3 linked regions of the Drosophila melanogaster genome follow. The protein of the gene in region 2 purifies or fractionates together with the protein of the main gene of each other region. This does not show direct contact. Each region holds a gene or a part of one and is shown on either strand. Other genes may lie near its edges.

Region 1 (4,879 bases), 2.4 Mb from region 2:
TTGTAGTTACTGAGTCCGAGGGAAACGTGTAACCTCTGCTTACTTACATTTGCGTTGTCCTGGAGTGCCTTGCACTTAGACTGCTCCGCCGGATCGGTCAGCTCCGCGATGCGTTTGTCCAGTAACTGGGCAGGACAGAGAACAAGAAAAAATGACAATAAATTGCATAATGCCTGCATTACGTGGCACAATACTCACGTTCGTTTGCTCAATCATCAGCTGGAGGTAGGCATCTGCCTCGGAAACACGGCGCGCCACCAACTCCAGGTGGTTGGGTCTTCTGCCGCCTGTTCCGCTCCCGCCCCCTTCCTTCGTGTAGCCACCGGCGATGTAGAAAGCGCTTTGGCTGTCCCACAGACGCGACCGGTTCGCGTGGCGTCGAATGGTGTCCTCCAGGCGGCGCACCCACTGCTCCCGCTCCTCGTTGTGTCGCGCCTGCAAGCGTTTGGAAAGTTGGCAAGTTTAGTGGGCTCCTTTGCTTGTGTATGGGTATTGGAAAAAGTTTTATCGTTACATCAAGGCAACAAAGTCAAACAAAAGGTGGAACGTGAGGACCAGACAGTGGTTTCTGGGTCGATGCCCGGATACCCTTTTCCGGTAAGAGGACGAAAACTCTTGGCAAGCAAAGCGGATAGGCCATCATGCTTGCTTTATATCTTTTGGGACGAAAACGCGAATTGCAAAAAGAAACGTGCTGCCCTCTTGATCTACATAGTTTTTGCTTACGTATACCACTAGACGTCATAAAAAATCAATGCAAGTGTGGAATTTAAAATGAGTTGGTTCTTCAGTTCATAAAACAAACAACGTCGTACTTAAACTATTACGGTGAATTATGAACTATTAGTGAAACTGCAAAACATTGATCAAGCTTTCCTTAGACAATCTTTATTTCCATTTACTAAGGAGACACTTACCTGAAAGTGGAAGGTCTTATGGTCCACAGTGATTGTGAATGTGTTGTCCTCCTGGTCGTCGATTCCGATTAGCGCATCCTTTAAACGAACACAACCGCGCCTCACGCCCTTTATCATCTTATCCTTCGACTGTAACAGAAATGCAGTCGGAATTAGGAAAGTTCATTAAATCGCAGCTCATACTGTCAAAGGGCTATTACGCCTGCTATAAATTAATGTATTCTAATCAATGCTTGGGGAATATAAAAACAGTGTTCGGCGTGCTGTTCACGCTTAAATGTTCGCCAGCGGTCAAGGCGGTAGAGCTGCAGTCCACCAGTCCCACGCCACCTAAAGGATACAGGCCAGCGGAAGCTCAACACAAAGAAGCGAAATGGAGGCGTCAGCAAGTGAGCTCCTCTTGGATTTGTCAAAAAACTGTCTGATGGTTTCAATAAAATTGTAGGTATAAATTTGCAGCCGGTGGTGAACGTTCCTACGATTTATAAGGATCCCTGGTACATGATCACAGTGCTGGTCCTCTATCTGTACTTCGTCACCAAAGCGGGTCCGCAGTAAGTTCACATGCTAATGTCAGCGTCGCTTGTTTGCATGTGGGTCAGTGGACTTGACATTAGCAATTCAGCGGGTTCGCTGGCTTACTTATATAAGAAAGAAGACCTTTAATACCTCGCTTATAGTTTCATGGAATGGCGCAAACCTTACGAGCTCAAGCGACTTATCTTGCTACATAATTTCATCCAGGTGGTTTCCTGCATATATGCTATCAAAGAGGTGGATATTTATAAATTGTACAGCAGCAGCAGCATCGGCTAATTGCTTTTCTCTCGCAGGTCCTGTACATTACGGACAACACCATATACATCTTTTGGAAGTGCCGCGACATCGGGAGCAGCCCAGAGCTCGTGAGGCGGTACTACAACTTGGCCTACTTTCTCTTCTGGCTGAAGATCTCTGAGCTGATTGAAACCGTGATCTTTGTGCTTCGCAAGAAACAAAACCAGGTGTCCAAGCTGCACATCTTTCATCACTTCTCCACGGTAACGCTGGTCTACGCACTGATCAACTTCAACGAAAATGGTAAGCTAGCCGGCTGCTGGGTGACCGACTATTTTCATAAATGCGTTCAATTGTACAGGTTCTGCTGCTTACTTCTGCGTGTTCTTGAATTCTATCGTTCACGTTATCATGTACTCGTACTACTTTGTGGCGGCAGTGGCGGATAAGACCTTGGTGCAGGCCCTAACTCCAGTGAAGAAGTGCATCACAGTGATTCAGATGACGCAGTTCGTTCTTATCCTCACGCAGGTTGCTTTCCAGCTGGTATTGTGCGGCATGCCGCCCTTAGTGCTTCTCTACTTCACCACCGTCATTCTTGGCATGTTCTACGGCTTTTACGACTTCTATAATAGTGCCTATCAAGCCTCGCAGCGGCGCAAGAGTCAGACCCCTCAGTCAGACTCAAAAAAGTAATCTCCTGTCAACAAATCACGCAATAAAGGGGTACCAACAAGTGTGTATGTGTATCCAAATGTATCTATAGCAGATAAGATAAGGCTGCGGGCCATGAGGAGTTCGTTCTGGGTGCGATATGGGTTTCAGTCAGGAGGTGCACTGCAGCCACTCACCGTGTAATAGGACAGCAGTCCAGCATTCTCGTCCAGAACGAAGAAGCGGTACTGCCAGCCCTTCATCACATTCGTCCACTTGCTTAGCGTGCCCTCCAATGTGCCAGAGCCACCACTCCCGCTCTGGGGGGGTCCCAGGCTGGGGGCACTTCCAGTGGTGCTGGCCATTTGATCCAGCTCCCGTGACACGGCCACCGCCTCCTCCTCCGCCTTTGATCCCTCTGCGTCCTCGTGGCTAAAGGCTTTCCTTGTCCCCGGGCGCGGACCTGCCTCGTTCCCTGAGCTCTTTTCTGTCCAGGAGCTGATGATGACGCAATGTTGCTTCACAACTCGCACCCGCAATCTGTCACAGCCTCAACTCCGCTTGGAATTTGCAAAACAAAGCAAAGCCCTGCCAACTATCGATGTACGTAAACATCGATGATTTTCTAGCCCTCCGAATCGCAGCTCGAGTGTGACCGTGCGGCGACCGCTGGAATATACCACCTACTATACCTAGCACACCTTACAAATTTGGAGTCATTTGGAAAATCATAACATGTAAAATTAGCTAGCTATGAAATTATAACCCTGTTTAAATCAGCACAATAAATAAATAAACAATAAACAATAAAGCACAAAAGTATTAACTGGCTTGTAAAATTTTAAGTAAGTTCGAGTTCTCGTAGTGAAAATATTTAGTCGTTCGCTATCGATAAATATTGTCATTTTGCAGCACAGTCACACTGTGATATTCAGCCTAGTTTATTTCGCGGTATTGAAATGTGATGTTTATGATAAACAACAAATAACGTTACTTGCATAGAACAAGTCGTAAGGTTACTGTGAATCTTTTACATCTTAACATTAAATATTGTTTGATTTCAGGAGCAACATGTATCCAGTGTCCTTTGCGGCATTTCAAAAGTTAATCGTTAATTTGTCTGAAATTGCAAGTGAGTTGAAAACTGCCAATGGAGACAATAGAACGTTGGTCGAGTGGAGCAGATGGTACTACAAAGAGTTCTACCGGAATCCCAGCATACGGGCAAGGTTCCCTGTCAAGGTGGCGCCGTGTCCCAGGCGGACACGCGACAACTTGCTTAAAGTACCGGAGCCAGGAGGAATTTCACAAAACGATGTTGCAAACGTAGCAGCTGCAGGACCATCTCAAGTAGAGCAACCCGAAGTCTTAGTTGAAGGCAGCCAGTTGACGACGCTCGCTGAAACCGCGAAGTCCCATGATGCAGTTGAAGGCGTTGCAGTTGAATGTAAACCATCAGGATCGGAATCTCCAGACGTAATTGTTAATGTGGAGAGGTGGGTAATATTATTTTCGAGCAGAGCAGATTAACCAATTTTGACTCATTTCAGATGTGGCGCCTTCATCTTTCCGGTATCCTTTGATGTATTCCTACAGTGCATCAATAAGATGTTACTGTTCAAAAAAATTGTCAGGAGCATAGAACACTGCCTGGTCCTCTTGTCCGACGATGAGCGTCGTCTTCTTACACTACAAAGGTTCTACAACCGCTTTTACATGTATCCAGAAAAGCGATCCCCTACGAATATCTTCAATGCAACTACAGAAATCCCTTTGGAAAAGTTGCTTGAATCTGGGAAACCACTGGACAAAAAAGCGGTCAAGACTGTGGCGGAGCTTACTGCAATGAAATCCCTTACGAAAAAGTAAGTTTGGGACACTTTCCAAATACTCGTTGTTTACTATAAATATTTCACAGTTCCATCGTCAGCTTCGAGGTATTTAAGAAAAATATGGCAAACTTATCGGACATTGTGGAGCAAATGAGGCAACTGGATGCTAATTATGCGAGCAAGGATGTCCAGGAATGTGCCCTTGACTATTACCTGGCGTTTTACATTACTCCGAGGATCCGATATAAATACGCATACAAATTAAAACCTTGCACGTCGACTTTCAAGGCCTGCATGCTGTCCATTCTCGGCAAAGATATTGCCGAAAAGCTTAGGAAAAGCCTCCCTCAGTTAGCTAATCCCTCGCCAGGACTTGATTCGCGCAGGCCCAACACTTCATATATTACTGAGAGCAAAGGGTCATTAGGGTCGCAGAATACCAGTGGCTCTTCACAAATCCAAACCAGTCCCAGCATGGAGGTTGCCCACGAACCGAGTGAAGGTCTGTCCCAGTTAGCTACTCTTTCGCCAGAGAATTGTGCTGCGGGAGCTATTAGCACGACTGAAGGGCTATCGAGTTCACATAATACTTTAGAAACTTTCGAAAACCAAGCTAATCTCAGGAACGATGCCAACAAACTAAGCAGATGTATGCCGGCATTAGCTTCGCCAGAACGCCATCTGCACAGTTCGAAAGCC
Region 2 (7,983 bases):
CGTCCCGAGATGCCAAGTGTTTTTTTTTGTTGTACGAACTATTTGTAGCAAAAGTAATGGAAGGTTAAGAACCAACCTTAATATGTGAAACGCAATAAATGCTTGGAGTTAGACTCTGACCATAAGAAATCATTTCTTGCCTAAACCTTGTACCTTAAATCATAACTAAATATTTATATACAATGATTGTACTTAACCAGGCTGATTTGTTGCCTTAAAGAACGTGTAAAGCCTACAGATGATAGAGTAAGACTCATAGAGCTCACCGATGATGCATTGCTGTTGCATTCCATCTATTTATGTATTCTCATTTTCTGCGTAGCTTGTAACTCGTTAGTTGGGTTTCTTAGATATGTCGTTAGACTATGCAAGCCTAAACTACGTTGGCATTTGTTTGAAACATTCTAAGCAGATTACCTAAACACATACAAATATTATATATTAGAAAGAAAGTACTCGTGTGTAATGAACAGCAATTTATGAATTTTTACAAATACAATCTCGAGTCGTTAACAATCCACGAAGACTTTTGATAACTTGTTCTTGGGCAGGTCAAGGGACGGCAGGCGCTGCGTCACCATACCGGTAGCCACCGTCGCTCCGTTCTCGCGAATTGTGAAGGCTTGGCCCGGAGTCATGACCATTTTCCGCAGCAGCGTGACGCGCACCTGGCCATGCTCACCCGGCATAAGCATAGCCTCACTTGGAACTGCAATGGGATTTGCTCAATGCTTTGTGGACAGCATTGAAGTTTTTAACTTACCTATGTCAATTCTAGCTGGAACATTCCACGTCTGGCTGAAGAGCTGCTGTATATACTTGGAGAGCATGGGCTTGACACGACCACCCTCGGCCCGCGATAGCAGATACATGGAGCCTTCAAAGTGGTTGGATATATCCTCGGAGCCGGTTGCGCACAGTAGCATTCCCCGCTCCACGGCGGATATCTTAATACCTCGCAGCAGTGCGCCGACGTTCTCGCCAGCCTGTGCCTGAGGCACGCTCTTCCGGAATATCTGGATGTCGCTGATGCTTGTCTTCAGGTTCTGATTGAAGCCCAGTAGGTCTGCATCCGCGTTCCGGGGAATGGTGCCCCTTTTGATGGTTCCCACGACCACGGTTCCCCTTCCGGGTACCGTAAAAGCATTGTCTATTGGCAGGATAAATGGGGACGAGATATCGCGCTGCGGCGTTGGTATGTAAGAGTCGCATTGCTCAAGTAGCTTTTCAATTGACGGAACCCCGAACTCCGATTTATCTTCGCGAAGGGCCAGCAGCGCTGAGCCACAAATTACCGGGCTATTCACGCCATCAAAGCCGAAATCACTTAGCATCTCACGCATCTCGATCTCGACCAGTTCCAGCACCTCCTGGTCCACCAAATCGGCCTTGTTTATAAACACTATGATGCGCTGGATGCCCACTTGTTTTGCCAGAAGAAGGTGCTCGCGAGTCTGGGGCATTTGACCATCGGTGGCAGCCACCACTAGAATGGCGCCATCCATTTGGGAGGCGCCCGAGATCATGTTCTGTAGATCAGATAGAAAGTTTCGTTAAATTGGTGGAACATTGGTTGGTTCTTTTGGCTGAGCTACCTTTATGTAGTCCGCATGACCCGGGCAATCCGTGTGAGCGTAGGTGCGTTCTGTAGTGGAATACCCAATATGGCAAGCATTTATAGTTATGCCACGCGCCTTCTCCTCGGGCGCCCGATCAATCTGGTCGTAGGACAGGTACTCCGCCAGACCCTTCTGTGACTGGATTCTGGTAATGGCGGCGGTCAGGGTCGTTTTACCATGGTCAACGTGACCAATGGTGCCCACATTGCAGTGGGGCAGCTCCCGCAGCCCCGGGGCCGGATTTTTATCCGCACTGGTGGCCAGGAGACGGGTCCCTGTCCACCGGCTCTGACTGGCGCCGGGTCCAATCAGTGCCTGGCTGATACGGCGCACTAGCCCCGCTTCACATTGGCGCCACAACTTCGGAAGGAGTCCGCTCATTTCTCCTCTCCAGGTCTGTAATCTTGGTGCAGAGCACGTAACACCGAGCACGTCGCGGAAAACCAAAACACGAACAGCTGTTGGCCAGTGCTGCACAGCGCAAGAATAGGTGAGCTGATAACTTCGAAAATTTTGATTACCCGAAGTTAATGAAATAAATATAAAAAAATGCTATAAATTCTAACATTTGACATAGTAGGACAAATTTCTCTAACGGCAGACAAAGGAACCTCTGCTGGCTAGCAGGCAAAATGTACTCCTGATATGCTCAATTGCTACGCCAATAGAACCCAAAATTAGATATAAAAATAAGTATTATTACACCTTCAATTTCAAAATTCAGTGCTTTTTTGTGTTTTCAAGTTACTATATCACAAAGGCATACAAATGCATAGTGCTCAGTGTAGTCTTTATTAAGAAAATTCAGATGGATTATCTAAAAATCGAACAATTCAAATATGTCGAATAATAGAATAGAATAATAGAAATCATTTTAAACATTTTTGTTTTCATTTTTGCAAGCTTGGACAAATATATTGTAAAATCTCTTGTTTCAATACTAAAAAATATTTAGGAGTAATAATACATTAAGAACATTAAAAAATTCATGTTTTTTGGCACTATAGCCATATTTTCTGGTTATTAACAAATGTAAATACTTGTCATGGTTTGGAAATGTCTCAAGGCTGAGGGAATGTCTTTGTAAAGAGTGCGTCGCTTGACGACAGAGAGCTCTTGAGGATCTTGTGGGTGCGTCGCATGTGGACGCCAAGACTAACTCGCTCCGAGAAGCGCGTCGTGCAGAGCGAACATTGCAGGGTCTTCTCCTTGTGGATGTGGCGATGCTTGACTAAGGCGTTGGCATTGGTGAAGGCCTTCTGACAGACCTCGCAGACCTTGTCGCGGATGTTCAGGTGCGCCTTTACGTGGTCCTTGAGGTCGCGCTTGGTCAGGAAGTCCTTGGGGCACATGTCGCACTTGAAGGCTCGGATCTTGGTGTGAACCGCAGTTACGTGCGTTGTCATTTGGATTTTTTGCTTAAAACACTTGCCGCAGAACTCGCAGACAAATGGCTTGGCGACGTGCTTCTCGTCATGGGTGCGTTTGTGGATAGCCAGTTGATTTCCAAAGGCAAAGCTCCTGCTGCAGATCTCGCAGACAAAGCTCTTGTCCATGTGCACACGCTGGCTGTGCTGCTGCAGGTGACACTTTCGGTCGAAGTTCAGCTCGCAAAGCGTGCAGCGAAACCAGCCTCCATCGCCCATCTTATGATCCCGGAACTGATGTGCTTGCAGGGCGTGATCTGTGCTAAAGGAGTGCTCGCAGACTTCACATTTAAGCTTCTGTCGGAATGATTTAGTGGGCATAAAGCTATTGCAGCGCTCGATGTACTGCTTCTCGGCCAGCGAGAGACCCACACATTGGACGTCTGTGAGGGTTTTGATCCGTCGCGAATACCATTGGCGCATGCTCTGAATACTGTCGTAGACATCGTAGTGGGTGACCAGGCCCAACGAAAACTCCGAAGTCAGCAGGTCAGTGATCTCTATGAGCGATGACTTTCGTACGTTTAGATTGCAGAAGTGCTTGTGCGCGGGATCGTACAGTTGGGGAAACTTGGAGTACAAATCAATGAACTGTGTGGTCAGTTGATTCTCCTCTGTGAACACCAGCTGTCGTGGGGAACGCATTAGAGTGGCTTAGAAAGCTGTTTGTCACTCGGACTCACCTTTATTTTGCCATCGCCGTCGACATCATCGCTGTCCGCATCCTCCAGACTACCGCGCTCTGCCAGAAAGCTGTACTTTCCATGGTAGTACAGTGGAACCTTGGTTAGTTTCTGAGTTTTCTTCTGCCGCGAGATCGACGCATACTGCGCGTGTAGGCTGGTGATGCACTTCTTCAGCTTATAGGCCGTTAGGTGAAGATTGACGGTCGCCTTTAATTGCTCCAGCAACTCCTCATAGGCATTTGCGCGTTTCTCCTTGTCCCTGTACGACTCATCCGCTGGATCCCAGAGGCATGTCTGCTGCTTATACAGTTCAATGAACTGTGTGATCCGAGGACTGCGTCGGTAAAACGTAGGATTGAACTGCCGGGATGCAAAACGTCTGCTTTAATTTGTTGGTTTTTGTTGCTGGTGTAGTCAGTTGCTTACTTTGGTTAAAGGAGCAAAGTGTGTGGAGTTTCTGGTGCCCAATTCGCAGTCAACTGTCATCGAGGAGGAGTCCACCTCGTCGTCTTCTTCCTCCTCCTCCTCCACCGGGCTGGTGCTCTCGTCGTTCTCTGATGAAGGTGGCACGTCAACGAACATGTCTTCAGCCAGGCAATTTTCCGGAGGCTCCTCCACTATGAACACCTTGGCTGGCGAGACCTCCTCCTCGCATTTGGCTGACGAAATGACTTCGGAAGTAGTGAGCTCTTGCTGCATGCTTGGATTTGCTTCCAGGTGCTCCTTGACGTGCACGATGAACTCTCGCCACCGCTTGAACTCCATCTCCACGTAGCAGTCATTTTGGTGAGCACACGCCAGAACAAAGTGCTCGAAGTTGTTCCTGGCCAAAATGTTCCCGCAAACCACCATGATTTGCTTACAAACAAATAAGATACAATGCCAAATAGCACAACAACAACGCCATTTATCGGTATCGATAAGCACCGGATGGTCAGTGTTGGGAAGATACCCGCGGAAATTCCATTGAAACGAAATCATCTCAATTTTAGAAAATATTTTATATGTAGACAAATAATTATATATACTATACAGCTTAAATTTAAATCTTGCTATAACATGAGTATTAGTTGTGTTAAATCAACTTTTAAATCAATTATAAATTTTTAAATATATTTTAAACTATTTCATTTTAAGCTGGAATAAAAACACTACTTTTAGTTGACTGATTCTGGTACTTATTCCCATTCGGAACAAGAGTCGAATTCCCCGACAATCAAATACTCCTTACTTAGCCAGTGGAAATACAAGTAGTTCATACGGACAGACGGACAGGGACAGACCGACTCGGCTATTGGTCCTTATCGAGAATATATATACTTAATATTGTCGGAAACGTTTCCTTCTGCATGTTACACACCTTTCATCGAATATATTGTAGTATACACTTTTTTTAAAGACACTAGAATATTAAGGTGCGTAACGGCCATTACATTGGTTTTCAACTATGCAGTTACTTTTTTGGTGACGGCCAAAATTGATCTCACTCCGCACGCGTAAAATGGAGAGCGTAAATTTCTTAAAATAGAATGTACTTCCTTGTGTGTGTTAAAACAACAAACGAGAAAGTGTATATGAGCATACTTGTGCTAGAAAACTTTCGTCTCGAAATCAATTTTGATCTCAGAAACGAAGGTACATACATACATATTTAAAGTTTTGGTCAAAGCTTGTTGCAATACGATCTACTACAGAGTTATTTAAAATTTAATGCCTTGACTATTCTTTTAAGAAGAGTTGTTATTAATTAAATACCGCTTATTTATTTTTGCTTATAATTAAAAATATTTAAAATTGCACTGACGACATACTTCAACAAGGGTCTATGAGCAGTATCTTGTACCGTATAAAAATTATTTTCATCATTATTTAAGCTAATAAACTAAATAAAGTCTTAAATCGTTATTATAACTATTGTAATTAAAAATATAAATTTGGCAAAAAGGAAAATACATTTAAAAAAATATATTTCATAAAAGAAATATAAATACATTGTTAAAAATGAATATATATAAAATTTTGTACACGTCATTTGATCAAAAATAATAATAATAGAGCTGCTAGCTCTAGAGCTCTCCGCTCTCTGACTTTTGAACAAAAACTCGGGAGAGCCTCAAGCCAGCTCTAGATCTAGAGCCAGAACCAAAAAATCATATGTTATTCTAATATCTCCTCTACAAGTAACGGTTATACAAATTTATCTTAAAACGAACTTATTTTTCCGGCTTCTTCTTTTTTTTATGAATAATACATTCCTTAAACCAAATTTTGAAAAGGAAAGTATGAAAAAGGAAAAGCTTGTGCATATGATTATCATACACATGTTCTTATCAAATACACAAAAGCCGTAAGTGCTTAACAACACGCTTGTTATTATCACTACTCTAACGTAAGTTTATTCTTGATTTACATCAAATGAAGCTTACTGATTCTCGTTATCAAAAAATAAAGCAGTTTCTAAAAATGTCCCTCAAGGCGAGAGTTCATTCCGATCTGTGGCTGCGGCGATGTCTGGAAAGCGAAGAATGGTCATAGAACGTAGCATCACAGTACTCGCACTTCTTATCACGGATATTCAGATGTCCTTTGATATGGTTGGCCAGCTCGAACTTCTTGCGGAAGGTTTTGGTGCACATATTGCAGCTGTAGGGTCTAATGTTCAGGTGAACTCCGTTGACGTGGTGGTCCAGGAGTAGCTTGAGCCGGAATGTCTTGCCGCAGATGTCACAGACGTGAGGCCGCTCGCCCGTGTGGATTAGTGTGTGCACCTTTAGGTCGGTATCCACGGCGAACGATTTTTCGCAGTACTGGCACTTCAACTTGCGTTCGAAGTGGGAACGCAGCTTGTGACGGTCCATGTCTACGTGGCGGTCGAAGCGCCTCGGGCAGAACGAGCAGAGGTACGGTAGGTCGCCCACCTCGTGCGCCTTGACGATGTGCACCCGTAGGTTGTAGTCGCCGTGGAAACGTTTATCGCAGTAGTCACAGTACAGCACCTGACTTTCGGAACCCTTGGCGGGCAAGAAGCTGCACATTTGCAGATACTGAACCTCTTGCTTGCTGCACTTCTGAATTAGTTCCTTGGATTTGAGGCGACGAATGGCATCGTAAAGCCAACGGCGCAGCTTGTTGACCGCAATGTAAACGTCCGTTTCGTTGGCCTTCACCACTGGCTGGAATTCCTTTGCCATTCTTTTGAAGGCATCTGCACGTATCTCTATTGAGCCAAAGTCTGGCAACGCTTGATTATACAGCACGGGATAGTTGGCATAGGTCTCTATGAATGAGGTGGTTATCAGGTTTTCCTCCTTAAAATTAAGCTGAAAAAAGGATTTTTGGTCAGAAAAGAGCTACATTATAGTGGGCTAGTTATTACCTTAATTGCAGTCAAGTCGTTGTCCTCCTCGTTCTCCCTTGGCGTTACAACAGGCGCCACACTGAGGAACTCGCACTTGGCAAAGTAACGCGCTGCAAGTCCAACAAGCTTTCCCCTTTGTTTTGTCTCCAAAGCCAGCGTGTACTGCACGTGCAGTTGCTCGAGCGTTTTCTTCAGTTCTTCCACGGTGAAGAGAACATTGGCCTTGCGGTCCATGCGTTCCATTATCGCCTCGTAGGCCATGCTTCGTGCAGGCTCGTCCTGGTAGTGTTCATCGGAAGGGTTCCACAGGCAGGGATGCTCTTTGTACGCTTGGATCAAATGCAGCACACGGGGATTGCTCCGAATAAACGAAACTTTGAACTGAATGACGCCGTTAAGTGGAATGAATTTCAGCTTAAGTGAAATATACTACGTACTAACCTTGAAAACCTGTCCTGGTCTTGTTCGCCTGGGCGGACGTCCAGGTTTTCTAGGAGGTGCCAAGTCATCCTCAGACATAAAGAAGTCACTACAATCAACATCATCATCGTCTGTGTTTAGGGGTATGTGATTTTGGGAAGACTCGTCCATTTGTGTGACTTCCTTTCCGGCTGGAAGTTCCAAAGAGCTGCCGCCTGGACCGAACTCCCAGGAATTGTTTGTAGCTGCAGACCAAGCGGTGGCGTCTTCCTCGTACTGGATATCCTGCGGTCAACGAGAGCTCACTTATTTGACCACCCTTGGTAAGCGAGTGAAAGAGTCTTACCTTGCTATCAGCTTCCATCCATTGATCGACCCCATTGCTGTTTTCGATCACCTCGAAGAACTCATCCGGCCCATAGGCGATGGCTGGGTCCGCCGCGTCAACGACGCTGTATAGCTCCTCGGTATCC
Region 3 (5,253 bases), on a different chromosome or scaffold from region 2:
AGCGACGCAGCGAAAAGTCATTGTGATACTGCTTTGGATCCGCCTCCACAATCAATTTCATGCGCTCCTTGAGATCCTTGAAGTCCTGCTCGTTAATTGGCGCCAGCTCCTCGGACGACATATTGTAGAGCACGAATCGCTTCCTGACCGGAATGCAGACTGGGATTCCGTGCTGGAGAGTCGCGGACTGGAATCGGAATGTGCTGACACTATGTGAAATGCAAGCAGCGCTGTTTATTTTTACTCGGAAATGTTTTTTCACAAACGGAACGGATTTGTTTTTTTCTTTTTTTTCGACCAGTGTGACCGGCTGAAACTCTCTAAAAGCTGTCATTTGCGTTCCACAACAATACTAAATGCAAGCACGAAATACCGAAAAATTACCGTTATTGGTTGGAACCGTTACATTTTAATAAAAGCTTTAATTGATAATAAATTTTGAAAAATATTTTAAACTATATAGTAAAGAGAAGAAAACAAATTGAAACAGAGCTGAAATTAGTTAACATTTTTATTTTTTATTTCAAGCTCAAAGATGTTATATTCTTAACTTCCTACTTTAAAATATGGAATTGTAAATGATTTAGCTCTGTTACTTACACTGTTACTTTCTAAGATTTTTGAATTCATGAAGATTTATTTGTATTCATCTTTAAACATTTTGAATATATATCTCATTTCGTTACACAGTTTAAAAAAAAAAAGAACAAAATAAATAAGACTTTCATCGCTATTTTGAACAGCCGAGATAAAAATAAATTCACGTGCACTTCATATGGCACACGTTTTATAAACAAACATGTTAGATATTTCGGAAATAGCTGTTATTGTGTTTAAAATGTTAACAATACATGATTGGTTGGCAGAAGCAGGCCACAAAAACACGAAATATGTAGAATGCACAACTCTCTCATATCGGCCACCTGGGACCCTAAGTATTAGCTACAAATGCAGAGATTCCAAAATTGAGATTTCTATTGCTTGATGGTCTTCAGTAAGCTCCTCCTACTTGGGCACCATGACGCGGGCTATGCCCGGCAGGACCTCAGCTTGGAGGGGCCCGAACTCGACGCGCTCGCCGTCGACCGTGATGATGCCGTGATTGTCGTAGGGCTCCAGGCGGAATGCTCGCACTGGCAGCACCTTCACATGGTCGTCGTGCGACTCCGGCAGGTGAGTGCCGGAGCTCATGTTGTAGAGGAAGCTCAGCAGGTGCGGGCGGCTGATGCCGGCGCGTATGAGGATCAGGTAGATGGTGCCGTCGTTCAGCTGGGCCTTGGGCGCAAAATGACAGTCGATGCCCAGATGGGTCTGGTAAACGGCGTGCATCATGACGAACTCGCCCTCCTCCACCAGCCAACCCTGATCCTCGGACAGCGGTTCGTTCAGATCCGGCAGCTCGCTTGCCGGACCGTAGTTCTGCTGCCGGTTTTCCAGCGAGGCGGCCGCCAGGCCGGCGAACTCGCTCTCATCCGCCAGACTGTGGTAGATGCTCTCCGATATGGAATAGTAAAAGCTGCGCCGCGATCCCCCCGACAACCAGCTGTCGCACCTCGAGCGGAACGACTGATTGATGGACGTCTCCAGGGAGATCACGTCCGCAAACTCCTGTGGCAGGTACTCGGCACTGGAATGATAGATGGGCGCCGGCCCATTTAGCATGTCGATGTGCGTGTTGCAGCTACGGCTGCTCTGCATTCTCCGCTGGGCAGCATAACCGGTAGCGCTATGGGTTGAGGACACCTCATGGTCCGTCAGAAGATAGCTGATTCGGCCGTTGTAGGTGCGCAGATTCACCAGACGGTAGAGGGTCCACACGGTGAAGCGCTGGTAGCCCAACATGCGAATGCGCTCGCTCTCGATGTCCACGTCCGAGATCAGACCCCAGCCGATGGACAGGAAGGAGTAGAGGGAGCGACTCTGCAGCTGCACCCGGACCACGTCCATGGGTGAACTGCGTCCACTGATTACGGTCAGAGCAGCTCCTAGCACTGGCTTGCTGAAGTATGGTTCGCTGGGGAGAAAGGTTTCAAGTGAATAGGTTTCAACACAAGACTGATAATCGGATTACGACCAATAGATCGGATATGAGACACCTGAATGTGGTTTTAAAGTCTATAAACATTCTTTTCTATTACCCTTTTTATACTCTTTTATCGGGAAGTTGAGCTATAGATGAACATAAAGAAAGAACATAAAGATTTCAAAGTTCGATGATATGCCACTAAATGTTGAACGAAATTGGGGGGCAATTACTTAACGATGTGGAAAGTTTGTTCTAGTCTGACGTCAATTTAACTTTAAGGGGATATCCCCACTTGCAAAACAACAAAACCATTTGACACGATAAGAAAACTACTTTTGCTTATGAATGTAATCTAATGATAAACTGCATGGCTAGACGCTGGAGGGATTGTTTTACACGAAATATGAAGATCCACATAAGTCAAAAGGGGGTTTTTCCTAATGAAACATGAAACAAAGATAACATACTTGTAACAATGGGCAATGGAGCGGGCCAATCCATTTCCGGAGCCGCAAGGAATGATTCCCAGTGCCAGATGAGGCAGGACGTGGGCCCAGTCCTGGCGCTGCAGCAGTCCATTGACTATCTCGTGGAAGAGACCGTCTCCGCCGACAGCCACCACGCAGCACCAGGCGTCCAGGCACCTGGTGCTCAAGAACTCGATGGCAAAGTTGGAATGCTTGGTTACATACAGGTCGTAGGGCACCTCGGCCTCGTTGAGCACCGGCGTCACGTGCATGTTGAAGACCTCACGAGCGTCACCGGAACCGGATTTGGGATTCAACAGCACAAGCACTCGACGGCGTCGCTCATCCACCGTCGGCGCCACAAAGATCTCCTCCAGCGTGCGATGCAACTGCCAGCGAAGGGATCTGTACCAACGATCCGCCTCCCTCATGTTGTCCTCGAAGGTGTCGAACGACCGGAAGCGCAGAGTGAGCACCGTTCGCTCCCGGTGCAACTCCGACCGCAGGCTCCTCTTCTTCAGAACATAGGCAAAAACGTAGAGAAACGCGCTGACATCGCCGCCATCCGAAGGAATATTATCCCGACTATTGGTGCTGCATTTGCTTGGTGTGGTGGCAGGGCGATGGTGATCGCCGGACGCCGAGATGGCTGGCGAATTGGGATTACCGGAGCTGCACGCACAGGCGCCCGACATCGCCAGGCGCCGGCTCTTCTTGGGCCGCATGCAGCGGGCACCCACAATGTCCGATATGCGGACATGTTGCTCCTTAACAATGCTACCGCCCGGCGACTCCCGCTGCAGGGTGAATCCTGTGGCGTCAAGGCGCACCCGAAATACGTGGCTGCCCTTCTTGCGCTGGCTCGTGTAGAAGGTATCGCTCACGTCGTGGCCCTCATCCGCATCCTGCGTTCCCGGGGGCGTGGCCCTGGAACTGGCCGAGCTCGGGCTGGTGGTCTTATCAAGAGATTCGCTCATTTCGACTGGAGATTCGGCTGCCAAGCAGCATGTTTCAGGTCTTTTGTGTCCAGGCTTTTATGGATCGCTTATCATCCAATCATAGCCGCAGTGTTACCGTCGGTGGCAGGCGCGAATATACCAACTGGCACAAATAAACTCAAAATTCTTAGAACTTAAAGAGGCTAGCTTAAGGAAACTATTGCAATACAATGCAATAATACAAATGAATCCACAAAAACGTCAGCTCATAACAAATTTAACTTGTCACTGCATTGAGTGCTGAAAGCTTTTTGTTGATATTTTTCTGTGTTCGAATAAATACCAAAATATATGACAGAATATTTCGTACGGTGCATTTGCGTTGCATTTTTCGGCGTTCGCAACGCGGTCACCCTGCATTTAGTGTTTTGTGAACTGTTAAAGAATCCGATACGAATTTAATTGCTGGGAATAACAATGATGCAGATGAGCGAGTACAAGGTGCTCCCGCAGAATGCACCGCAGGACGAGAATGGCGCAGTGGTCCTGCAGCCGCAGGCGGCGAATGTTGGCAACAATGCCAACGGACCTGGTGCGTAGCGATGGACATATATGGATTTGTCCACTGTTGAATTCCATCACTCGGATGGACCTAGTCGGTTGCGCGCGTCTGTGTGGGCTAGTGGGCGTGTGCGAAAGGCGGAAATGCCGTCGTCTCTTTCTTGGCATTTAGTACAGCAGCGGGCATGGCAATAGCACCCATAGTTATCTATGTAAAAAAGATATTTTATAATGTACCAAAAAGTGAAGTGATTCCAAGTCAATACGTAAATACATATTGTTTAAAATATTAGTTTATGTTAAGAACTGCTATCACTGGCCCTAATCGCCTGACCGCCATTGTAGCTATGCTAATTTCCTTTACCCATGCATAGATATCGGAAAAGCACTTTATGCATATAGATAAATATAAATACATAGGGAGCTAATCCGGAACAACGCCCCATTGCAGAAAACTGGATGTCGATACCCGTGGGCATGCCCAACTGCCCGCAGGGACTGGAATACCTGACCGCTCTGGACCAGTTGCTCGTGTCGCAGAAGATCGAGAAACTGGAGCTGCTCACCGGCTTCGAGACGAAGAACCGCTTCAAGGTGAAGAACTCACTGGGCCAGAATGTGTACTTCGCGTACGAGGAGAGCGACTGCTGCACCCGCAACATGCTCGGCCGGTCGCGCCCCTTCGAGATGAAGATACTGGACAATTTTCAGAACGAGGTGCTCCACCTGTACCGGCCCTTCAAGTGCGACATCCTCTGCTGCTTTCCCAGCTGCATGAACGCCGTGGAGGTGTCGGCGCCACCCGGCCAGGTGATCGGTAGCGTTGAGCAGGTCTGCACCTTCATGCGGCCCAAGTTCAACATCAAGAACACATGCGGCGATACCGTCCTGCAGATCGAGGGACCCGTCTGTCCCTGCAAGTGCTTCAGCGATACCAACTTCAAGGTCAGTACGCAGCCAACAAGTGGTTATTCTTGGCTCTCGATCTCGATTCCCAATGCCCAAACAAGTGTATACACACACAGCAGCGGTCAGCGGATTAGCTTTAAATTCTTCGGAGGAGTACATATGTATGGTCTTCATCAGTCAAAGACGAAGCTTTATAAAATTCCAAAATGAACAGTATCAGGCGTCCACTTAATTGCTTTTTTAATTATTAAACATTTATAAGTGCCTATATACATATATTCTAAATAATTATGAACAGACAGAAGCGTTCAAATTAATAGCACCCACACTAGTTTTAAATTTTCAATTGTAT

The links. Proteins that work in one complex are often made in the same cells at the same time.
Region 1: the proteins of az2 (region 2) and CG1513 purify together in Drosophila melanogaster (affinity purification with mass spectrometry, with the first as the bait; one large-scale study listed by BioGRID). This does not show direct contact.
Region 3: the proteins of az2 (region 2) and Sk2 purify together in Drosophila melanogaster (affinity purification with mass spectrometry, with the first as the bait; one large-scale study listed by BioGRID). This does not show direct contact.

What each region holds. Positions count from the first base shown.
Region 1 is NT_033778.4:9,888,690-9,893,568, forward strand, and holds the start of CG1513 (uncharacterized protein), read right to left. Parts: upstream 3,001-4,879; 5' UTR 2,714-3,000; coding exon 2,546-2,713; intron 2,453-2,545; exon of another isoform or gene 2,391-2,452; coding exon of another isoform or gene 2,056-2,390; intron 1,998-2,055; coding exon of another isoform or gene 1,751-1,997; intron 1,692-1,750; coding exon of another isoform or gene 1,598-1,691; intron 1,472-1,597; coding exon of another isoform or gene 1,363-1,471; intron 1,307-1,362; coding exon of another isoform or gene 1,291-1,306; exon of another isoform or gene 1,189-1,290; intron 1,047-1,188; coding exon 918-1,046; intron 797-917; exon of another isoform or gene 436-796; coding exon 199-435; exon of another isoform or gene 126-198; coding exon 48-125; exon of another isoform or gene 33-47; coding exon of another isoform or gene 1-32. Other genes in the region: CG12923 (uncharacterized protein), read left to right, coding at 1-32; CG30008 (uncharacterized protein), read left to right, coding at 1,291-1,306, 1,363-1,471, 1,598-1,691, 1,751-1,997, 2,056-2,390; tea (telomere ends associated), read left to right, coding at 3,420-3,844, 3,899-4,213, 4,267-4,879.
Region 2 is NT_033778.4:7,508,112-7,516,094, forward strand, and holds az2 (az2), read right to left. Parts: upstream 4,639-7,983; 5' UTR 4,585-4,638; coding exon 4,159-4,584; intron 4,093-4,158; coding exon 3,730-4,092; intron 3,674-3,729; coding exon 2,681-3,673; 3' UTR 2,511-2,680; downstream 1-2,510. Other genes in the region: mEFTu2 (mitochondrial translation elongation factor Tu 2), read right to left, coding at 510-709, 764-1,529, 1,596-2,000; CG1603 (uncharacterized protein), read right to left, coding at 6,216-7,052, 7,109-7,471, 7,532-7,795, 7,857-7,983.
Region 3 is NT_037436.4:3,045,407-3,050,659, reverse strand, and holds Sk2 (sphingosine kinase 2), read right to left. Parts: upstream 3,574-5,253; 5' UTR 3,471-3,573; coding exon 2,494-3,470; intron 2,015-2,493; coding exon 1,006-2,014; 3' UTR 501-1,005; downstream 1-500. Other genes in the region: CG32485 (uncharacterized protein), read right to left, coding at 1-121; scramb2 (scramblase 2), read left to right, coding at 3,909-4,023, 4,444-4,937.